4 linked regions of the Caenorhabditis elegans genome follow. The protein of the gene in region 2 interacts with the protein of the main gene of each other region in a pairwise test. Each region holds a gene or a part of one and is shown on either strand. Other genes may lie near its edges.

The links.
Region 1: the proteins of ztf-28 (region 2) and F26F4.8 interact in a two-hybrid assay, tested with the Caenorhabditis elegans proteins (one large-scale study listed by BioGRID).
Region 3: the proteins of ztf-28 (region 2) and zfh-2 interact in a two-hybrid assay, tested with the Caenorhabditis elegans proteins (one large-scale study listed by BioGRID).
Region 4: the proteins of ztf-28 (region 2) and aptf-2 interact in a two-hybrid assay, tested with the Caenorhabditis elegans proteins (one large-scale study listed by BioGRID).

What each region holds. Positions count from the first base shown.
Region 1 is NC_003281.10:4,903,463-4,907,056, reverse strand, and holds F26F4.8 (C2H2-type domain-containing protein), read left to right. Parts: upstream 1-1,583; 5' UTR 1,584-1,749; coding exon 1,750-1,785; intron 1,786-1,853; coding exon 1,854-1,956; intron 1,957-2,002; coding exon 2,003-2,093; intron 2,094-2,141; coding exon 2,142-2,256; intron 2,257-2,305; coding exon 2,306-2,575; intron 2,576-2,618; coding exon 2,619-2,738; intron 2,739-2,784; coding exon 2,785-2,882; intron 2,883-2,929; coding exon 2,930-3,005; 3' UTR 3,006-3,060; downstream 3,061-3,594. Other genes in the region: kbp-2 (Mediator of RNA polymerase II transcription subunit 21), read left to right, coding at 3,187-3,282, 3,330-3,545, 3,594-3,594.
Region 2 is NC_003283.11:2,089,105-2,092,293, forward strand, and holds ztf-28 (C2H2-type domain-containing protein), read left to right. Parts: upstream 1-1,564; 5' UTR 1,565-1,576; coding exon 1,577-1,688; intron 1,689-1,749; coding exon 1,750-2,396; intron 2,397-2,451; coding exon 2,452-2,511; 3' UTR 2,512-2,636; downstream 2,637-3,189. Other genes in the region: gtnt-27 (Glycosyltransferase family 92 protein), read left to right, coding at 496-643; gtnt-26 (Glycosyltransferase family 92 protein), read right to left, coding at 2,649-2,943.
Region 3 is NC_003279.8:801,481-806,384, forward strand, and holds the start of zfh-2 (Zinc Finger and Homeobox), read left to right. Parts: upstream 1-1,887; 5' UTR 1,888-1,921; coding exon 1,922-1,994; intron 1,995-2,319; exon of another isoform or gene 2,320-2,392; intron 2,393-2,864; coding exon 2,865-2,942; intron 2,943-2,989; coding exon 2,990-3,415; intron 3,416-4,119; coding exon 4,120-4,400; intron 4,401-4,904.
Region 4 is NC_003282.8:13,412,996-13,417,584, reverse strand, and holds aptf-2 (Transcription factor aptf-2), read left to right. Parts: upstream 1-1,533; 5' UTR 1,534-1,630; coding exon 1,631-1,642; intron 1,643-2,713; coding exon 2,714-3,205; intron 3,206-3,253; coding exon 3,254-3,597; intron 3,598-3,653; coding exon 3,654-3,909; 3' UTR 3,910-4,025; downstream 4,026-4,589. Other genes in the region: Pelle-like serine/threonine-protein kinase pik-1, read right to left, coding at 677-788. UniProt on the Caenorhabditis elegans protein: Sequence-specific DNA-binding protein that interacts with enhancer elements to regulate transcription of selected genes. Required for neuroblast and epidermal morphogenesis, perhaps acting in cooperation with transcription factor aptf-4.

The sequences.
Region 1 (3,594 bases), on a different chromosome or scaffold from region 2:
AAAATATGGTACCCGGTCTCGACACGAAAATTTTTCGTTAAACGATGTGCACCTTCAAATAGTACTGTAGTTTCAAAATTTTGTTTTTGGGAAGTTACCATCGATTTTTCAGATCGAGTTTAATTTTTCTCATTTTTAAAAAATGTTATGTGATTGTTCTCGTGTGTAAAAATATATATTTCAATCGAAGACCTATAAAACATCAATGAAAACCATGTTATGCCTGAATCTGGTGAAATGTGTAGTGAGAAGAATAAGGGGGTTATCGCAAGATCCTAAACATAAAAAAATATATGCTGAAAATGTAAAGACCGATTTGAAAATAAAAACAAAAAAAAAGAAGTAGATGTCACTTCAAGACCATTTATTGACTCTACTACTCTTCCTTTTCTCTCCATGAAAAAAATGGAAATGTCGTTTCGAATCAAAAAGTGAGAAGTGAATGAAGTGTGTAGATGACTCACTGGCGGTATACGGAAAGAAAAGAGAGGAAAGGTGATACAAACTGATAAGAAAACTGTGTGTGGGGAAATAATGTGGAAGAGAAAGAGATATAGAGATAAAAACGGGAAGAACTGAGGAAATATAGATCTATTGCATATGTATTTGCATAAGGGGGTTAGGCAGTGCTAATAGTTTTTACAAGAATGATGAAACATGAGCATACCAGAAATATTATTGGAATGAGCAAACTCGCACGGAAACTTTCTCTAGTTTATTTTTGAACCCTCTATTGGTTTATATAGGATTACAAGAAGACAATCAACATCAAACAAGTGTTGCAACGTGCCAGAATACGGTCCCCGGTCTCAATTTTTCCTTTTTCTGGCATTCTTATTAATACTTGTGAAAAAAGATTATTTAATAAACAGCAAAATGTGCAAGGAAACGAGATAAAGTGGAAACTACAGTACTCCTCAAAGGCACACATTTTTATGTGCGACATTTTTTAAAAACTGTTTTAGGTGTGCCGAGATCGGGAACCGTAATCATAAATTGCAAACATTTATATGCGGTCTTATTAAATACTACAAAATCGCAACAAACAAATGAACAGCTTCCCTTGGGTGTCTTCTGTTTTTGTTTGACATTCTTGGGAAATAGTAGTTAAAGTTTGTTGCAAATGTCAAAGGAGATATTGAGTAATGAATGATGCGCGTAAATCGACCTACTTATTGGATAGATTAGAGATTCATATCTAACTTTGTAATTCTATGTGCATTAAAGGTGTATAAAATATATATGAGTGTATATTGTGTTATGAAATATTGTGAATGAACGGGTGTATGTCAATGACAGCTGCTCTTTTCCTTGCTCTTTGTTCAGGTTTTGAGTGCACCTCTGCAGACCTCTGCCAATTATTTTGGCAAAAGAAAACGGGAATTTCTAGGCCACGCACTTTACTCGATTCTGAACGGAATAACAAACCAATTTTCAAAAAGAAATTGTATTAAAACAAATAAACATATCATTGTGCATTGTATTTATTGAAACTAATTACAATTTATGATCCAATATTATGCAAATCGATCAGTTTTTGATAGGTACCCAATTCGTGGCCGAGTCTCTCGGAAAGCTAGGCCAAATGCCGTTTTTGGCGGCAGTCGACGCGTTTTGAAAAAGAAAGAATGAGGACACGCAAACGTTTTTCTTGTCAAATATTCCCGTGACCTTTTGACAACTCATAATCATGGAGACGTGTAAGATTGATGATATGGACGGTGACGGTGAATCATTATTCAGTGTTAAATGGAAGGCCTTCCGGAAGAATCCGCGATTCTCGAGGTAATTATTAATATTTATTCAAAGCTTTTATATTTTTACTTTTAAGTATCATAATCAAAACGTTTCAGGTGAATGCCAATACAACTTCCCCCGATGTAAAAGTTAAATGTAAACAATGTGATCGATTTTTCACGTCTGAAAGATCCCTTCGTTGTCATATCAAAGTGCACAGTTAGTTTCAGGCGATTAGATTTATGAAACCAATATTTATTTTTAGATGACAAATTGTTGGAGTGCTATTTCTGCGACAAAATGTTCAATCGAACGGATACTCTGTTTTTCCACGCACTCGACCACATCAGCAAAGGGTAATTGCAAGAAATATTTTGAAATTTTTGAAAAACTGTTTCGTTCAGAACTCTACCTTGTCGTGCCGAAGGATGTGATCAACTCGTTGAGACCATGTTAGAGGGCGAGAATCATGCGAATACAGCTCATCATGTGAATGGTACAGTATCGATAAAGTGCAAGGTAAGTAAAATATCGATAGATTGAAACAGAACTAATCAAAACATTTCAGGATTGCTCCGAAGTTTCAGTATCCTTCCGTAAAATGCTATTCCATCACACATTCAAGCATGGAGAACTTAAAGAATATGCGGAGGAAATGATTATCAAGCAGAAAGATTTCCTTCGAATGAAAAAGAATCAAAGCCGGAAGGAAAGAAAAACTTCAGTTGGAGCAAAGGAAGAATCAAAGCAATTCGATGTTCAAGATGCTTTAGAAATCGAAGTCAAGGAAGAAATCTATGAAGCAGACGAAGATGATGGGATTTTAAAGCAATTGCAGGTTGGATTTATAGCATGATAGAGGTTGAAACTTGAATTTTCAGATGGCTATGTCTGTATCATCAGCTTCCAATTCGGAGATGATCGCGAAACTATCGGATGTGATTGCAGAATTATTCCCATTGAATGATAACGAGAAATACCAATGCACTCATTGCTTGATGGTATGGTTTTTGCTCTGGAAAATCTTAAAAACGTAATTTTTCACAGAGTTTCACCGACGCAATCCTCTGGATGACGCACATTGGATATCACGAAATTGACGATCCGTTCAAATGTTCTGGATGCGGCCGAAAGTTTGAGAATCGGTAGGCTATTTCGAAGATTTTGCTCTGAAGATCAGTAATAATTACAGACAAGCGTTCGCTCTTCATCTAAACTACTTCGCACATACAATTGGTTTTGGAGGAGAAAACGAAAGCGATGAATAGTTCTATTTCATGTTCCTTTATTTTATTTAACAAATAAATATGCATAATACTTGTATTTCTGCTCAAATTTATTCCTGCGTGAAGTTCCATAACTTTTAAAATACTTCTTGTTTAATTTCGTTTCATAGTTTCTTGTTAAGTGTATTTGTAAGTTTTCCGCGTTTTAGATAAAATCAATATCATGTCGCAAAGAAAAGAAGTCTTGAATCAAATGCTGGACACAACTCTGGAAATATTCACAAAATCATTGTTAGAGTCCCAGGATTTGTGGAAAATGGTAAGCTTGATATTTTTGCACGTTTTATCCAGAACTAAAATTTTCAGAGTTCTCATAGAAAACTCAACATGGATAAAGCTGCAGTGGATGCTGTGATGGCTCGAATGGCGAAATCAACACAACAAAAAGTTTTGGAGAAGACTGATCAAATGATTAAAGAAAATAGTGTTTACGAACTTTTCGATGATATGGAACAATTGACGAGAGAATCTGAAGAATTAAATAAGCAACTCGGAAGAGAAATGGGATATAATCCAGTCAATGTTTGTATATTGATTTTAATATTAATATACACATTTTCATCGTTTTAGG
Region 2 (3,189 bases):
TAATTGCAAACTTTTGTTGCAGTGGAATTTTCTTTCGATTGTTTTCTGCAGAATAATATTTTTTATCGAAGAACTATGAAGAGCCCACCAACGTACAGTACTCCTTAAAGGCGCACACCTCTTCGAAAATACAAATTATCGTGTCGAGACCAGATATCGTATTTTTAGCTCAAAAATCACAAAGTTTCGCGTGTGTATAATAACACGGTCATATGTAAATTCAAGCAGCAGCTCGTGTACTTCTCGAGGAGAAGTGTGCATTTGTTTTTTGCAGAGATTTTTGAATTTTTACTGAAATTCTTGCCGATTTTTGTGTATTATTTTTGAAAATAGTGAGCATTTTAGACTGAATTTTCTAATTTTTTAGTGTTTTAGGCGGAAATTCTGTAGAAAAAATTACCGAAAATGGCCAAAAATCAGGAAATTTTTGCCAAAAAACGCACACTTGTCCTCGAGGAGTACACGAGCCGCGTAAATCGACACTGACATTTTCAGACACTACCGAATGACCTCCGTCAGAAATAGTATCGGAAATGGTTGGATTTACGGCGACAACTTCACTATAACCGAGCTGGATAGGGAGCTGGAGAAGCTTCTGGTGCATAAAGTTGCTAATATGGCTGAGCATATTTATGGGTCTTGAAATGAAGAAATTGCAGTAACTTACTGTACCGGTTTTGTATTCCTTTTTTTTCATGTCGAAATAAATCAAATCACAAAGTAGCGCCAGTGGGAAAATTGCTTTAAAACATGCCTATAGTGTCACAATGGCCAAATATCATAGTAAAAAAATTCAATTTTTTTTTCTAAATTTTATATGACTTTTTGAAAATTGGAAAAATCTCAGTTTTGCCCGAACTGCAATTTGAATTACCGCCAAGAGAATTCGTTCGATGGAGCGCGCTTGCACGTTTTTATTTTTATTTAAAATTAAATATTTATTGTTATTTTCACTCATTTTTCACCGATTTTTCATGTTTTCAGTGTATTTTTTTTTTGAAATATAAAGAAAAAATTAAGATAAATTCAAATAATCGATTGAAAACCTACTTTACAAGCGTAGAAACAAAGAAGTAACACTTTTAAACGACGTCGACCCTGAATTAATTAATTTTACAGATTTTTTTCGTTTAAAAATATTATTTATTAATTATATGATTAATGTGATTAGTGAGAAGCTTTTTTAGTCTACTATCCTTGCAAAAATTTTGTAGGTCAGTAAAAAAATTCTTTTTTCTTCTACACTCAAAATAATAAAACTGCGTTGCGTGTACGACCAAATAGGCCCCGCCTTTTAATCGTCCACTCACGGGAAAAAGGCAAAAATATGGGAGGGGGGGGACAGCTCGCCACGCCAACAGTGAGAAAAATAGTGTGGTGCGCGGACCTCGAATGATGTCGGCTGCTGATATTGGCTACACCAGCCGCTTTTTGCCTTTTCCCCGTGAGTGAACGAGAAAAAGGCGGGGCCTATTTTGGCGTACACGCAACGCAGTTTTATTATTTTGAGTGTAAATTGATGTAAAATTCTAAAATTTTTCTTCAAAATGTCCTCTTCTTTCAGAAAATCAGCTTCATGGATACTTCCGATCACAAGCCCCTTATCGACCGCTTCGAAACGGAATTCGCTGAAAAATCGTCACTGCTTCGCAAAGAAGAAAGCGAGCTTAAGCGGCCGGATCTCAGAGGTGAGTTTTATTTTATTTTTTTTTGTAATTAAAAAAAAACATTAATTTTTCCATTTTTCAGGCGATTTCCTCTGCTTGTCCTGCGGCCAAAACTTCAAGCACGGCGCTTCTCTCAACCGCCATCGTAAACTGGTGCATAGCGACGAGTACACCTGCATGCTGTGCGCCCGTAAGCTCTACCTGAAGGAGACCGTCCGTGATCACATGAGAAATGAGCACTACTTGGGTCAAGTATACACCTGCGGATGCTGTAACTGGACGTTTTCCAACAAAAAAGCCCTCACCGAACACGCAAAGGCCATACAGGAAACCGGAGCTCCAGGAGACGCCAACCCGATTGCGAAATCCGGCAATTCACCGGGATCACTGCTGAAATCGCCAATTCAAAGAGCCGGCTTCAAGCTTAATCGTCTTTTGAACAAGTCTCTGTCGCCGTCGACTTCCAATTCAACAACGTCCTCATCTTCCCGCGACGCTTCAGGATCGCCCCAACCGGAGCTGGAGCTGAAGCTGGAGCCAGAGCCAGAGCCAGAGCCCAATGAAGAAGCTCTCGAGTACAAAAGATTCTTCAACAATGCAGTCGACACAATTCTACAGAGAAATTTTTTCACCGATCAGCAGATCACTGAAGTCGACACATGGGTCATAATCATCGAAAGTGCGAATGCTCTTGCGACGGCGCTTCAGAGCTACAAGAAAGCTCAGCAGGTAGCTAATTAAAACATTTTTTTTAAAGATAAATTTTCAAAAAATAATTTTTCAGATCCAGCCAGCCGAGCCAGCCATGATCCCAGAAAAGCGCATCAAGCCGGAAATTGAGTAATCGTTGATGTTCGAGTGTCTTCATTATGTTTATAGTTCTACCTCACTGCTCACTTTTTGATTTTCATGTTATGTTAATTTACATTTTCAATTTTCGATAAGCTTTAATACATTATTTTGATTAAAAAAAAGATCCAATTACTGATAGCATCCAATCTCATCACTAAAGAATGCATCACTCGCCCAATGGAATGTGATTGGAAACATGGGCGGCCCGGAGTGATACGTGGCATCTGAATGGGTACACGGCATCGCTTCTCGTTGTGAAAGCTCACAATCAAAAGCATTTACACACGTGGATTCTGCAGAAAGAAGGCCGGCGTCTCGAATGTGATAAAATGATTGATTATAGCACTGGAATACGATGTTCGTATAAAAATCATCTTTGGGCAGAGAGGAGGTTAAGCTGGTGAATTCTGGCTGGGAAATTGTGCTGAAATTTTTTAAAATTTGAACTTTTGAAATTGTGGTTCCCGGTCCTGACACGACACATTTTTGTTGAATGCAAGTGTGTGCCTTTAATGAGTACTGTAACTTTAAACTCGGGTTGCTGCGTAAGGTATGAAATATCGATAAAAAAACCAGAGTTTTTGAAAATACAGTACTCTTCAAAGGCGCACACCGCATTTACAAAAACTGGTCGTGTCGAGACCGGGTACCGTGTTTTTCTTTGTTAAAA
Region 3 (4,904 bases), on a different chromosome or scaffold from region 2:
ACACATCGTTTAAACGTGTTACCTCTCTCGGGGCCCCCTCTTCTCCTACTTCTTATTTGCTCAAAATTTGCGCGTCGAAATTTCTTCGTCGTGCGCTGCCCCTTCCGAATAATCAGATTCACCAATGTATAAAATAGGCCACGCCTCACTTTTTCCACACCCATCATCTTCCCTCAACTTTCCTCTTCTCAAATGCCTAATCAGCCAGTTATAACGAGGGTGCTCTTCGTGTGGCGCCCCGCCCATTTTATTGCTCCTCTCACGCTTCATTCTCACTTTTTCTGGGGATCCTTTTTTTTGCAGACCTAAAAATTTGAGCTCAGCCATATTTTTTTTGTAAATATAATCAAAAAAAAATAGACATTAGTCAAAAAAGTTGTTTTAAGCCTAAAAAAATTTTTCAGATAAAAAACGTTTTTCTTTAACTTTTTTGAACAGTTTTTCAGTGAAATATTTTTAAATTTTTATTTTAAAAAAATGTTTGTTTATCTAAGCCTAAGCCTGAGCCTAAGCCTAATAACCCTAAATAGCGTCAGTGTGGGAGCTCACGCTCCCCCACTGACGCCAAGCCTAAGCCTACGCCTAAGCCAAAGCCTAGGCCTAAGCCTGGGCCGAAGCTGAGACCTAAGCTTAAGCCTAAGCCTAAGACTAAGACTGAGTTCAAGCCTAAGCCTAAGACTAAGCCTGAGTCTCAGCCTAAGCCTAAGCCTAAGCCTAAGCCATTTTTAAAAAGCTTAAAAATTTTTGCAATTACTATTTTTTCTGAAAATCTGTAAAAATATCGAATTTTTAGAGTTGCTATAAAATTTAAAATAATATTCAAAAAATAATCCGAAAAAATTAAATTTTTTTTCTCAAAACGTAGATCATACAGAATCAGCTTTAAAAAATTCAAACCATTTTTCGTTTCAAAAATGTTCAGAAAATTTGTAAAACTTGAGTTTTGAAGAAAGTTTTCATAAACTAGCTCTTGAATAGGGTTTTTAAGTAGGCGTTAAAACGCTTGCCTGCCTGACCTTCAGGCGACTTTCGCCTGCCTGCTTGACTTTCAGACGTTCTCTGCCTGCCTGCCTGACTTTAAGGCGACCTCCGCCTGCCTCTCGCCTCAATCCGAGCCTTATCTCTTAAAATGTTTTTCATCAAATTGATAAAAATACGGAAATTACAAAATTTTGTAAGTTCATGCCAAAATGCAGGCATCAGGCCCTGAGGCCACGCCTGCCTAGGCCTCCGACTTTCGTTCTACAATTGTCGTTGCCGTTTCCTTTATCCCATTTTCATACCCCAAAGTTATGATTTTTCTTACACCCCTTGCGCTGCTGCTGCTTCCGCTCCCGTGATCTTATGAATCAGTAGTCAGAACTGCAGGTGTGAATCTCCACAATGATCACCCAATAAACGCGAAACACCATTAGAAACAAAGTGTCCCCCGTTTTTTTTTTCTGAGAGTGTCGGCACCCCCCTAACATATGCGGGGAACATTGTCTCAAGTTTTGTGTGCTCCTCCAGCTCCTCCATATGGTTACCGTAGTCCCCTGTCAGTGTTGTGTAATTGTTGTTGTAACTATCCCCCGAATACCTCTCCTCACATTCATTCACAACACAGGTGTCAACTCAACTCTCAGTGCTCATTTGAAGTTTATGAAGTTTAGCTTCCGGGGATGGCTCTCCTGGGCTCCCCGCTCCCTCGAAAATTTAATTAATTGCAAGCACATGTGGTGGTGGTGGGGCGAGCTCCGCGCTTCCCCCCCCGCCCCGATTCTCTCTCTCTCATTTGCGACTCATTAGATTTTAAATCACTCTCAAACTTTCCACTTTTCCAACTTTCGCGTTTTTTAAATTTTTTTTTCACTTTTTCCTCACAAATTCATCCAAAAAAATTTCCAGAGTTGCCCCGCCCATATATTGGCTAAATGGTAGAATGGACGTGGCACTTTTGACAATGGATGACAACAACAAACCGCCGACAAGTTCAGAGTCTACGGAGAGTAGGGGTGAGTTTGGCCGGGGGACCGATAATTTTTAGGCCAAGACTTCTTTTTTTTTAAATCATTTTCAAAGGTACGTTACCTTCACGTGGTGCCAGGTTGTCCCATTGCTTTTTGATCTACAGAAAATGCGGGATTTTTTCCCCAAAAAATGTGACATAAGCAAGTTTTTAAATCTTTTCTCCCGCATTTTTTTGTAGATCTACGTAGATCATACTCTGACACCACGTGTACCTTGAACCTCCTGGCTTTCTGAAACTAGAGTTCGTCGCTAGAGCGCATTTGCATTGTCGTGGTATTTAATTTACAGTACCGCCAGAATCATGTCGCGCCGCTTGTAGTCTAGTGGTTAACACGCTTCAGCTCTAAACAATAGGTCCGGGGTTCGATTCCTTGCAAGATGAAATTTCTTTCTCAAGATGGAGGTACATATGTGCTTTAAATGTGCACTAGAGATAGCGAAACTGATACCATGGTCCGACATGTACAGGGTTCCGCGCGCGCCTAGGGCCTCCAAAACGCCTGCTGCTCCAGTTTTGCGGCGACCTCCGCCTAACTCGCGGCGCGCCTTCTGTATAGTCACGGCCTTCTGTCTTCCCTCATAAATTGAAATGGAAGAGTTTTTGCCGAACTAGGCCATCTTGGCTCGGTCACATCTGGGCTCGATTTTAGTTGTAAAACTAAATGTATTTGTCCGTGTGGAGTGCACGACTTGCCCACGCGTTGACCGGCGGGCGATTGCCAATGGAGCGCGAAAAATTCAATAAGGAAGGCCAGAACCCCGTGTATAGTGCCGCGCGTGGAGCCCGAAAAGTGTCAGCCGCGGCGGAAGAACCACATTCCATAGGACTAAAAAACTAAAGTTCTCTCTTTCAGAAACATCACCACCAATGATGCCAGATTCTGCGGAGATAATGCGACTTCTTACGGATCCTTCGACGGCTCAGATGTTTGGTAGGTCATAGATCAAATTTTTTCCGCAATTTCCCGAAAAATTTCAGCCAACGAAAACACAAAATGTCAGCTGGGACGGATTCTCGCCGCGTCAGGCTTCGACGAGGCGAGCCTCTCCTCCTCGTTTCCGTTCGATCCGACGCTCGGCGCGTTCGCCGACATTTCCCAATTCTCATCACTCCGAAATTCGTCGAAAACGCTGAAATGTCCAAAGTGTAATTGGCACTACAAGTACCAGGAGACCCTTGAAATTCATATGAAGGAGAAGCACAACGATGTGGATGTCAAGTGCATGTTTTGTGCCGAGAACCGTCCCCACCCGAAGCTGGCTCGCGGTGAGACGTACTCGTGCGGTTATAAGCCATATCGATGCGATTTGTGTCGGTACAGTACGACGACAAAGGGCAATTTGAGTATTCATATGCAAAGTGATAAGCATCTTCATGCAGTGCAAGAGCTCCCGAATAGTATAGGTAGGTGGGGGGGGGAGGCGAAGGGTACTGTAGTTTTCGTGGTGGGACCCAAGAATTTGAATTTCACAAGAATTTAACTGTTGAACTCGAACTTTTCGATTCTAGGGTCTCGCCACGCAAAAACACTTACGCCAACTTTTTTGAACCCTAAAAAATGATACTCAAATTAGAGTTCTCAGTGAGCTAAATTCGATTTTACAGTATTTTTTTAATTTGACGTTCTGTGGGTCTTACACTCAAAGGGTACTGTAGTTTTCGTGGTGGGACCCACTTGTCCAAAAATGGACGTGATTATATTTGGATTAAAGCCCCTAACTTTTCTGATTTTTTTAATAAATTGGTTTTATTTTGAAAAGACTGAGAAAATTGAGTTTAGATCGAAATCAATAAAAATCGCGTCGAGACCCAAATTTCCCGGGTCTCGGCACGAAAATGGGGGAGAGGGTACTGTAGTTTTCTGGCTTCTCTCATAAATTGAAATGGAAGAGTTTTTGCCGAACTAGGCCGGCCATATCTGGGGTAGATTTACGGCGCGTTGCGTGTCGCGGCTCAATTTTTGTTTTAAAACATGAGGAAGACCAGAATCCCGTGTTTTCGTGGTGGGACCCAAATGGGTCATGATTATACTTATTTGAAAGGCCTTAAGCTGAATTCAGATTTAAGATTTTTATTATTTTAATTCAAAAATATCCTGAATTTTCCAGAATTCGCAGCCAACTTCGCGTGTGGTGCTCCAGTTAGCCGAAGTAGTCCAATCGAAGAGTCCGACGGATCCCTGGTCTGCTTGATCTGCGGTATCTTCGCCACCGAATCTATCGCCGAAATGATGGAACACGTGGAACAAGACCGTTCCAGGACGTTCCAAGGAGACGTTACCGTCCTAAACGGGAGCTTCCGGTGCCACTTGTGCCCGTATAATACCACATTGAAAGCCAATTTTCAACTACACACAAGGACGGATAAGCATCTGCAAAAGGTTCAAATTGTGAGTTTTGTATTCCCCTCTCATCATCTTCTTATTTTTATTGTGTCGCCCTTTTCCCATTTTTGTGTGTCTGTGTGTGTATGCGCACCGATTTGCATATACACATAAATTCATGATTTAATAGCGTAATGAGTAATATTTGCTTTGCCAAGGCTAACAGTTTTCGTATTTTAAAGCCTTTTTTCTACAATTTTTGAAAAAAAAATTCAAAAATTTGAACATTTCAATATATCCCTAGAAAGCTCAAAATTGTAGTGAAAATTTTGAATTCAGTACGCTGAGACCTTTAAAATAAGTATAATCATTACTAGGTTTTGGTTCTGACGCGAAAGTGTTCGTGGCGGAGCCCAAGCAAGGCGTAATTGATTATAGGGTCTTTGCACGCAAAAAATTTAAGGTCCGGTAGGCGTGGCGGGGAGTTTTTCTTGAATTATTTTAGTTTTTCATAAATTTTCAATTTTTTGGAATTTATTTTTCTCTCCCTTCCCCCGCGTAGTCTGAGCC
Region 4 (4,589 bases), on a different chromosome or scaffold from region 2:
AAAACTTCTCAAAAAATAGTTATGACAGCTCAAAAAATGACCTAAAATTTGTTAAAATTTGAAATTTGACCGACTTGTAAAGCGGCTGGAAACAATTTTTTTGAAATCACCGTCAAATTTTGAGTATACATGTCAATTAACTTGCGTTTTCGACTACTACTTTACAATTAGGTATTTTAAAGTCGATGGACGGCGAGATTTGGTTTAAAAAAATTGTTAAAAATCTCGTCGTCCATAGACTTTAAAATACTTAAATCAAGTTGAAAACGCAAGATAATTAACTGGTATACCTACAATTAGACGGTGATTTCAAAAAAGTTCGTTTCCAGCCGCTTTACAAGTCGGTCAAATTTCAAATTTTAACTTATTTTAGGCCATTTTTTAAGCTGTCATAACTTTTTTTAGAAGTTTTATTAAGAAATTCGGTGTTTTCAGACAATTTTGAGTCTAATAAAGCAATAACAAAAATTCGACTACACCACCTTTAAAGGAAAACTATAAAAAAATTCGATGAAAAATCCGCAGATTCGAATGTTTGAAATAACTATTCTTTAAAGTGCTTTAAGAATTAAAGGCGCACACCGTTTCGCATATAACAAAAATTTGTCGTTTCGAGACCCTATTTTTGGAGCAAAAACCGCGAAATTTCAATGATTTGTTATAAAAAAGTCCGAACCAATCGTCTCCCAAGTGTTATCCGTATCTAAAATCGCACATATTTGCTGGAGAACTTCTCGTTTCATGAATGGAATCATTACAACTTCTGATACTCCAAGAGAATCATCCATTGTCTCTGAAAAATTCCAGATTATTTTTAAAAATATGTATTTAAACAATTTTAACAAGTTTAATTTTAAAAGAGTAGCTAATCAAAAATTATTTTGCTTTATTAAACTAAAAATGGTCCCAAAATATCGAATTTCATAACAAGACTGTTCAAAAATGCTTTTAAAAGGTTTATTTCCGCTAAAATCTCCAATTTCACCAACTTTTCCGTTTCACAGCGATCGGAAATTGATTTTTATCTGACTATTGCCCTATTTTGCTCATTTTCCTATTTATCTTCTGTTTTTTTGTTGATTTAATAGTTTGGATTTAAAAATTAAAATTTTAGATGATAAATTAACGAAACAACGCAAGAAAACCAATAAAAATATTCAAAATAGAAGAAAAATCAAATAAAAATCAATTTCTAACCGTTGTGTAACGAAAAATTGGGAAAATTCTATTTTTTCTTCGAAATTAATTTTTTTCTCGTTATAAAATTCGGGGTATTCGGGCCTTTTTGAGTATAATAAAGCAATAAAACTCCTCCTTTGATTGGTTTTTTGAAAAAATGTATAGAATGTTTTGAATGTGTTTTTATTATATTTTTAAAAATAAAAATATTTTAAATTAAAATTAAAATTTAATATTTAATTAAACTTATAAAACGAACAATTCTGAAATTCCAATAAATCCAAAAGCGGAGGAAAGCGGAGTGTCGTCACTTCCTCTCGTCGTCTCATCCCTCTCCCTCTCTCTACATTTTCTCTCTCTTCCATTCCATTACTTGGCACATTCTTCTGGAGATGTCACCTAGAAAACAGATGTTTTTGCAACACTGGAAGAGTAGATCAATAATAAAAGAATGGATATACAGGTGAGCGCGCACAGATTTGATCTCCACACCATAAACGATTTACAACCAATGAGGTCAAATATTGTAGAAGGCATTCGATCTACCTTATTAATGTCATTTCTTTCTTCCCTTTTTTTCAGCTTTTTTTTTGCTTTTTTTCCATAATTTGGAGGTCTGGCAATAACAATTTTACTTTCAAGCTGGAGTACCGAAATCTGAGACTTTGTTTTTTACACCCAAAATAGCCCAAAAATACCGAATTGGTAATGGGACGTTTTGAAAATTTCTCAAAAAAAAGTTATGGCAGTTGAAGGTTCTGGAAAAATGGCACATTTTCAGCTAAAATCAAAATTTTGGTCAACTTCTCGGTGTCACAGCGTCTGGAACATCATTTTTATGTAATTATCACTATTTAAAGACTATTGCGGTCTTCTATTAAGCGTTTATTCGTTGATTTAAACATATTTTCGGTAAGTGGGACACAAATAAAAGTTACATTTTTGTGCCCCACTGACAATAAATGTACTTAAATCAACGAATAAACGCCTAATAAAAAACAAAAATATTCTTTAAAAAGTGATAATTGAATCAAAATTAAGTTCCAGACGCTGCGACACCGAGAATTAGACAAAAATGTTGATTTTAGCTGAAAATTAGCCTTCTTTCCAGAACTTTGAGCCACCATAACTTTTTTTTTTGAGAAATTTCCAAAACGTCTCATTACACAATTCGGTAGTTTTGAGTCATTTTGGGTCTAAAAAAGCAAGGGTTCAGATTTCGGTACCCCATCTTTAAAATATTCAAATGGATCCAAATGCTGAAATCCCACAAAATTAAGTTTTAGAAATACAGTTAATTTCTGACGAATTTTTCAACTTTCTGCCGAAATTGATAAAAAAAACCAAAGTGCGGCACAGAAAAATGGGCGTGGTTAAGTGGCTAAAGTGCGGAAATTCAAATTATTCAAAAAAGGATATTATGAAGAAGCGAAAATTCGTCACAATCAACTTTTTTGTTAAACTCTGTAAATTTATATTGTCTGCTTTTGAATCCATTCGCGTATTTTAATTTATTCATTTATTACTTTTTCAGATGTTCACCACGCTCAACTCTACTGTTCCAACGGAACCCGTGGTGGGACCTGTGGAACCTACAGTACCTACAGTACCCGCCACAAAAGAGACTGGCCCTTCAAGCTCTGCAGAGTGCTCTACCCAACCCGCCGTTGCCGAGCAAGAAGACAACTCCCTTTTGGCACAACTTTTAAAAGGAAAAATCACGTCTGATGATGCAAAGTTGCAACCACCACGTGGACCTTTCGAATACGCACCGATGCTCTCCGAGGAGGCACAATTTGCGATTAAGCTGGCGGGTCTTCTCAACCCGAATCCGGTCACTGAACAGGACCCGAGCACTTTCAAGCCGCCTCCGAAAATGAGCAATAATGTTCGAAAAAACATTAATTTGACTCCGGTTATTGAGAATGCAGTTCCGAGTGGATTTGAACTGGAAAGTCCGAAAGATCAGGCATTTGATGTGGTTCATGGAAGACTATCTATGGGACAGAATCAGACATGTTATTTTGTACGTTTACGGTAGAAGTTCAATATTAAAATTTAAATAATCTTCCAGGTCACAGTCGAGGAAATGAGACGAAGATTGCAAAGTCCGGAGAAGCTCAATAGTTCGAGTATCGCATGCAATCTTAAAAGGCCAAAACTGAAGAATGGAGGTGAACTGATGCGCGCTCAACTGAGAGATCATGGAATCAAGGTTCAACTGAATGCGAAACAGAAGGCTTTTCCCAACAAAGTGATCGCTTTGGTCGAAGCGGAAGCTGTTCATTTGGGACTTGATCTTGGAACAGCTGTACGAGATGATTATCCAGTTCAAGATATAATTCAAGAAGTTGCTCATGAAGCATTGGCTGACGAGGATGCAGATCTGGATGCGTTGATGAATGATAAGGATTTCACGTAAGTTGACTATATTCCAATTTCTCAATTCTGACGCCAAATTCCAAATATTTCAGAGAATGTATGTCAGCACTTGAATCAGTTTTCACATCAGTCGTCCCTCCGATCACTGGAATCGAGCCAAAACCGTCGAACAACATGCGACTGAACAATGGAATGGAGACCTTTTCATCAGCTTCACATGGACTTGGAATCGTGTCTCAACGGGTTTGGCTCCCCCAATTGACTGCAATCGGAAATGGAGTCGCATCTGAACTTCGACGCTTGACAGAGACGCCAACTGAATCAAAGCCAGAGGAATTGAAAGCATAAATTCATATTTTCATATTCTGATATTTAAAACAATCTGATTACCAAGGTCTCACTTATTTTCCATGATCTCTATGATGTTTTCACTTAATTTCAATGAAACTTTTTATTTATTTAAATCCTCATACGATGTTCCTTAGTACTAGGAAATGCATCATTAAAAATGATTTTCATATTGCTAGTACGTCTTATAGAGTAGCTTCGAATTCACTTTATACATTTGAATAATATTGAATTTTATAGGTTTTACACATCATTTTGATCATTTTGATGTGTAAAACTTTGAAAAATTCATTATTATTCAAATGTATAAAATGAATTCGAAGCTTCTCTATAAGACGTACTAGCAACATGAAAATAATTTTTAATGATACATATTCCAAAACTGAAAATTAGGAATTTCTTTACCCCCGTTCCTCACGTGAAAACATTTATTGACCCTGTGGCAATGTGCGCTTGCGCGTCTGCGTCTCCAGAAGGCGTAATCTCTCGTGTTCAAACACTTTCTCAACTGACCATTTGTTTGCGTCGTTGCCGACGGCTTAACCATATGTTGCCTTTTCCCCCTTACATTTATACAAGACAGTAATATTAATAAATCGGTTTGATCTACAAAAATGCGGGAATTTTTTGGTCAAAAAATGTGACGTCAGCACGTTCTTAACCATTCGAAATCAGTTGAC